Linked DNA regions of Tribolium castaneum. The protein of the gene in region 1 purifies or fractionates together with the protein of each later gene. This does not show direct contact. Links are inferred from orthologs where the notes say so. Each region holds a gene or a part of one and is shown on either strand. Other genes may lie near its edges. The genes, in order: Polr2K and Polr3B.

The links.
Region 2: the proteins of Polr2K (region 1) and Polr3B purify together in Homo sapiens (affinity purification with mass spectrometry; 3 studies listed by BioGRID and IntAct, with this or other methods). This does not show direct contact. The link is inferred for Tribolium castaneum from reciprocal best matches to the Homo sapiens genes POLR2K and POLR3B.

The regions. Positions count from the first base shown.
Region 1 is NC_087394.1:4,870,916-4,873,369, reverse strand, and holds Polr2K (DNA-directed RNA polymerases I, II, and III subunit RPABC4), read left to right. Parts: upstream 1-1,324; 5' UTR 1,325-1,452; coding exon 1,453-1,516; intron 1,517-1,569; coding exon 1,570-1,662; intron 1,663-1,730; coding exon 1,731-1,753; 3' UTR 1,754-1,796; downstream 1,797-2,454. Other genes in the region: Pfk (ATP-dependent 6-phosphofructokinase), read left to right, coding at 1-19, 351-575, 639-861, 915-1,044. UniProt on the Homo sapiens protein: DNA-dependent RNA polymerase catalyzes the transcription of DNA into RNA using the four ribonucleoside triphosphates as substrates.
Region 2 is NC_087398.1:9,958,142-9,962,707, reverse strand, and holds the start of Polr3B (DNA-directed RNA polymerase III subunit RPC2), read left to right. Parts: upstream 1-1,458; 5' UTR 1,459-1,601; coding exon 1,602-1,652; intron 1,653-1,706; coding exon 1,707-1,861; intron 1,862-1,909; coding exon 1,910-2,086; intron 2,087-2,154; coding exon 2,155-2,443; intron 2,444-2,491; coding exon 2,492-2,814; intron 2,815-2,958; coding exon 2,959-3,202; intron 3,203-3,252; coding exon 3,253-3,453; intron 3,454-4,566. UniProt on the Homo sapiens protein: Catalytic core component of RNA polymerase III (Pol III), a DNA-dependent RNA polymerase which synthesizes small non-coding RNAs using the four ribonucleoside triphosphates as substrates.

The DNA.
Region 1 (2,454 bases):
TATTTGGCCACACTTGCAGGTAATATCGATATTAAGTTGGCAACATTGTATGAAATGAAGACAGTTTGTGTCTCAAAACGTAAAATATTCGACCCTATACAGGTTGTTTCAGAACTACTTAGTTTTTGACGTAATTTATTTCTTCCAAAATCCTCCATTTTAGAAATAAAATATAGGAGTTCGTATTACTTGTATTATCTTATTTCTGATACACCTTGTATATTTGATGCATGGGGTAATTAAATATCTATTAATGATATAAAAAAGGTAAATATTAATGTTTAAGTTTGACAGTCAATGTTGCCAACACATTCATTATTCAGCATCGCCAACTTATTTTCACATGTTAGGTCTCGCTGGGGGTGCGGATGCTGCGTACATTTACGAGGAAAAATTCACAATTAAAGACTTGCAACAAGATGTCTACCACATGGCTACGAAAATGTCCGAAGGTGTACAACGTGGTTTAATTTTACGTAACGAAAAAGCGTCAGATAACTACAATACCGACTTTATCTACAGATTGTATTGTGAGGAAGGAAAAGGCTTGTTTAGTGCCAGGATGAACGTTTTAGGTATTTATATAGACGTTTGTTTGTTTAAAAATTTAATACTTTTTTTGTGTGTGTATTGTTAAGGTCATATGCAACAAGGGGGTTCCCCCACACCTTTTGACCGCAATGTTGGTACCAAAATGGCGTCCAAAGCGGTCGAATGGATGATCAACCAATTAAAAAGCAATATGAGTTCAGACGGCTCAGTCAGTTGTTCTAGTCAAGACAGCGTCGTTCTGTTAGGAATCGTTAAAAGACAATACAAGTTTACACCAGTCGCTGAGTTGAAAGAACAAACCAACTTTGAGTACGTTTATAAATTATTAAACTGTTTTTTATAATTACTTTAAATTGTTTTAGCTTGCGTATGCCTAAAGAGCAATGGTGGTTGAAACTGCGCCCTCTATTGCGTATTTTGGCAAAACATGATTCGACATATGAGGAAGAAGGGATGTATATGACGATTGAGGATCGCAGTTTTATTAATTAAAGGCAACCGTAGCCATTTATAGTGAATTTGTATTTTTTAGCTTGTTTTATTTATTTTATTGTGTAGTTTATTTTATTAAATGAGATATTGTAAACAAATTTTGGCCATATTGTGATGACAATATCGATATTTGAAGACGGGTCAAGTGTTACAAAGTACGATTCGAGCTGGGTATGTGGAATGGACGTATTATATTTCAATAAAATTTTAATAAACTATCAAAAATTCCTGCACCTTTTTGAATTTCGCGCTTGTATACGTTGGCGTTGCCAACCGTTGGAATAACAAAAAAAAGATGAAATTCCCTAAGTCGGCATGGTGGCGTTGTTTTTATACAAAATTTATTAGAGGAGAAAACTACGTTCCCGCTCGTTTGTATTAAAAATTGTGCTAATTTAAGTGATTAGGATGTCGGAACCTTCGACCAAAGACTCAGGGGCCACGAAAACTCCCATGGTTTACATTTGCGGAGGTACGTGAAAGTGAGGTTATGTTTTGATTTGAAAATTTTCGAAAATTATTTAGAATGCCACAATGAGAACGAAATAAGGCCGCGGGATCCAATCAGGTGCCGGGAATGTGGGTACCGTATTATGTACAAGAAGAGAACCAAACGATGTATCCTTTTATTATCAATTACTAACACTTGCAAATTTTCAGTTAATTTTTCCTTAACTTTGATCCAGTGGCCGTGTTTGACGCCCGGTGAAAAAATTGTAATTAATTAAGGTTGGAATAGAGTGTTTTTTACATTGGGGTTATTATTTGCAAACCTGTCTTTCCCCTTTCCTACGTCCGACAATTCAAGCACCTTGGGCACCACCTGGGGCAATGCATCGATTTCCCAGGGCCCAGTTGTAGCGAAAATTTCAAGGTCTCGCGCAAGGGCAGTGCAGGACCACTTTCTGCAACGCAACCTCCTCTTTAACCAAATTCAAGGTCGTCCATGTGCGATCAATAAAACTAAATACACGCAGGTTCTACGCCGGTGTCTGAGCGCGCCGGTCGCGACGTGTGGCTTCGCCGTTGAAAACGCCGAGAGTAAAAAATTCGCCGATTTTTGGACTGACAATTGTCGGAGGAGTGAAGGTGGTGCAGGACGTGGGGGCCAATGATGGCCGTCTAGGGCTGCGATAACTGCGTTGTGTTATTGCACCACGTGCTGAAAGGGCGCCGGCGAGGTTTACCGTTGCGTGCCGGTTTCCCGCCAGCGCACTGAGGTAATTTTGATTTTTGAAGTGTTTTTTTGATTTTCCCCAAAATGTTTTTTTGAGCCTAAGAGACCACAACCATGGTGTGATTTTATTAAATTTTATGGAAAAAACCTATCACGTAGGATAGGTTTTAAGGTTTTGAGACATTGGACAGCCATGCATTTTGTCGGATTTTTTTTTTTTTTTAATTAATTAC
Region 2 (4,566 bases), on another chromosome or scaffold:
AATTGTGAACACCATCAGTAATTGAACTTTTCTTTGTCATTCTTAATAAGTTATTAATTTTATCACCAACGAGCTTAGGAAATGTAATAGACAAAACTTTTTATTTAAAAGAATACTCATTTTTCCCATGTTCCGTTCAAATAAGCTTTGTTAGGAGGTTGCACAATGAGTGATAGTAAAAAGAATTATACAATTCACACAGTATACTCGTACATGTTACTTCTCAATGTTCTCATGTTCTCACAGAATTCATGTTTTTTTACAATAGATATACTTATTTCGTCTTTTGATATGTAAAGTAAAAATAACTGCTAAAAATAGTTATTAATAATACGAGTGCGAAAACACAAGCTTAAAGTTCGAGGGCTGTCGTTATGCAACGAGCGTATGCGAGAACCCGGAACTTTAAGCGTTTTCGCATAAGTATTATTAAGTTTTTTTTGTTGGAACATTTTACTTTAAAACACGTTGCTATGAGAAGCGAGTTTTAAAATAGTGAAAACATTAATTTAAAACACGTTACTATGGGAAGCGTCTTTTAAAATAGTGAAAACACGCTGCTATGGGAAACGTGTTTTAAAATAGTGTTTTTCTATTTCGGTTTCGTACTGAGGTCACTTTCATTACGATACGCGATTTGCGTATCGTAATATCCAACGGAGTTCTATAATAATTACACTAAAACCAGGGTAATTTATTTGGATAATGTTTACAACCTAGTTTTCTGACAATCATTTGTTTCAAATGTATATTTTAATCAAATAAATCAAATATGAACCTTTAGAGGCTCTTGTACCATACATGATTCAGTGCAAGTAAGTAATTTGAGATCTCATATACTAATATAGTCTAGGATTCAGATATTAAAAAAGGCTTAAAATTTTACCAACAAAAAACATTTTTTTAATTTACCACTTATAGAAAACTTTGTATATAATGAACTGATTTTGATGCATTTTCTGAATATGTTATAACTTACAGCCGGATTCCACTGTATTTTATTTGCTATTTTAGATTGTTCAGTAAGTTTTTATAGGCAACCAATCATACGATTTTTCGAACGGAGGCTTCTTTCGTAACAAAACACGGTGGCAAAGTTTCTTTTCTAAATCTGACGTCCCTTAAGTAGCATATCACCTAAAAATGATTTTTTTTATTAATTTTAATTTTTTATTAATGACAATAAATTTCATGGCAATGTAAAAGTATACTAATTTCACATTACATTATTTGGATTTTTATCAGTACTTACAATTTCAAAGTACCCATAAAAAATTATGTAAAGTATTTGTGAAATCTGGTCTTTAAAACACACACTATATAAGTATATAGTATAAGACTAGTATATATAGTATAAAACTATAGTATATTAAAGTTAATATACTATTAAAATTTTGAAATTTTTAATAGTTTTTGCAATCGTGTTTTAATGCAACCGAAAAAAACTCAGTTCGAAAAACCGTATAATTGGTTGCCTGTACACCCAACTCTCTACACCACATAACCTACATGTTTAACTTCACATTTTCAACATGTAAACAAATAGTTATTAAGCGTAACAGTGATAAACTAATTAATAAGTTGCAACAAAAAGCGCTGAAATGGATTTTGACGATCCCGCCCTTCTCAAAAAACCAATCAAAGAAATCGAAGTAATTCAAGTTTCAAATTACAAAACCTAAAAGGTATTCAAAAATCATTTTTAGGAAAAATGGAAACTAGTGCCCGCCTTTTTAAAAGTCAAAGGATTAGTAAAGCAACACATTGATTCGTTCAATTACTTCATCAACGTTGATATTAAGAAAATCGTGGAAGCCAACAACAAACTAGTTTGTGATGCCGATCCTTTATTCTACGTCAAGTAAATTATAAGGCGCTTTATAAGTTTGGTTTTATCTTAATTTCGTAGATATACAAATGTTTATGTTGGACGACCGGACGTTGACGAAGGCTTCAACATTAGCAAACCTACAACCCCTCATGAATGTAGGCTGAGGGACATGACGTACTCAGCCCCCATTTCCGTAGATATTGAGTACACTAGAGGCACTCAGCGGGTATCCAAAGCTGGTTTAATGATTGGCAGGTAATTTATTAGAAAAATAAAAAAAAATATTGTAAAAACACCAATAATTTTTTTAAATAACAATTTAGAATGCCAATTATGCTCCGTTCCTCCAACTGCGTCCTCACCAACAAATCCGAGTACGAATTGGCAAAAATGAACGAATGTCCTTTAGACCCCGGCGGCTATTTCGTCGTCAAAGGCCAAGAAAAAGTGATCTTAATCCAAGAACAGCTCTCCAAAAATCGAATGATAGTTGAAGAGTCCAAATTTGGGGTCCAATGCGCTGTCACCAGCTCCACACATGAGAAGAAGTCGCGAACCAACGTCGTATGCAAGGCCAACAAGTACTACCTAGGACATAACTCCCTAACTGACGTAATTATTTTGTGCATTCATCGTCAAATTCCCAACAAATTTTTGCAGTTAGTCCCTGTTTCAATCATCTTCAAAGCTTTGGATGTGACAAGTGATAAAGAAATCTGCGAATTGATCGGAGTTGAGGATATTTCTAAACTCACTCCAACGTTAGAGGAGTGCCACACTTTAAAAATTTACACTCAGCTGGGGGCACTTAAACACATAGGTTCGAAATTAGTAGCTAAACGTTACGTGACGTCTGCTAGCAAAATGAAAACGCCAGTTGATGAAGCGAGGGACGTTTTGGCGACCACTGTTCTAGCCCACGTGCCTGTGGAAAACTACAATTTCAGGATGAAGGCCATTTATTTGGGAGTGATGGTCAAAAGGTAAATAAAAAAGTCAGATCATAATCACCGGGTGACAAAAAATTGAAATTTTAATTTGGCAACCCTGAGTATAAAATTCTCTTGTCAATTGTCTGAGTGTTGCCAATTTCAAGGTACAATATTTAACAATTTTTTGTAAAAAAGGGTGATTGAGGCACAGTCGGACAAGAAATTCATGGATGACAAAGACTACTACGGCAACAAGCGTCTCGAATTGGCCGGCTCTCTCCTTTCTCTTATGTTCGAGGACGTTTTCAAACGCTTTAACTGGGAACTAAAATCCATCGCTGAAAAAACCATCCCAAAAATCCGAGCGACTCAATTCGACGTTGTCAAGTATATGCGCTCGGATCTGATCACCAATTGTCTGGTCTACGCAATTTCGACGGTAGCCAATCACAAATCGCCGCGATTCGGCTTCTGATTGGTCGGTTTCAGGGCAATTGGACCATCAAGCGATTCCGAATGGAGCGTTTGGGTGTGACTCAGGTTTTGTCACGGTTGAGCTACATTTCCGCTTTGGGGATGATGACCAGAGTTAATTCGCAGTTTGAGAAAACGAGGAAGGTTTCAGGACCCAGGTCTCTGCAGCCGAGTCAGTGGGGAATGCTGTGTCCGAGCGATACACCCGAAGGAGAGGTATATAGTAAATTTTGTTTGCTTTTTTATACATAATATTACGGAGCAAATTAAATTCTCTGACTCTTTTTTGTCTTACGCCATTTAGTTCTGTTTTTATCATTGATTGTCTAGCAATAGCGTTCGCACGTTTTTAAATTGTGCTCGTTGCTCGCAAAATGCAAACACTTCAGTTAAAACCATACAACAAAAATTGATAGAATAAAGTAGCTGTTTGGTGATTTTTTTATTCGATCGGTGAAAAAATTAAAAAAAAAATTCTCGATGTACTTATAGGGAAAAACGTTCTATTATACACGTAAAGAAAAGTTGGCATTATCTGCTCGTAATTCCTTTCAGAAACCCATCACTCACAGATAATGAACAGCTTTTCTTTACTTGTATAATAAACGACTATTTTTTAACGATTACCAATCTGGTCAGCTGGAATAAGTATTATTGGTTGCATATTTATAGAAATTCAGAATAACTCACTATTGATTCACCCTGTATAGAAGTCTAACTTTACTAATAATTAAGCTACAGAAGACGGGAGCTGAGCAGGGTTATCCTGTATGAATGATTTGTATAAAATTTCCTTTTTTTTTGTTAATACGACTTCTTTACCTTGTCAGGCTCTGTTGAGCAGAGTTTAAAACATCGAACGCAAGCCAATGCTGTAGTTAATATAGTTATTAATAATACGAGAGCAAAAGCTTAAGCTTAAAGTTCTAGAGCTGTCGTTATGCAACGAGCTTATGCGAGTGTAATTTAACTTTTTTTGTTGGAATATTTTAATTTAAAACACGTTGCTGTGGGAAGCCTTTTTTGCTAAAAATTAAGATAGGCAATATCTATAGTCAAAAATTTTATTTACCAAAAAAAAATTCATAACTCGAAAACTAAAAGTCGTAGAGCAATGCGGTTTGTTCCATTGAATTCAGCGGCTTATTTTGCGTATAAAACCATCTTTTAACAAGATGTAAACTTTTAAAGTTTTTTGCTAAAAATTAAGATAGGCAATATCTATGGTGAAAAATTTTATTTACAAAAAAAAAAAAATAATTCATAACTCGAAAACTAAAAGTCGTAGAGCAATGCGGTTTGTTCCATTGAATTCAGCGGCTGATTTTG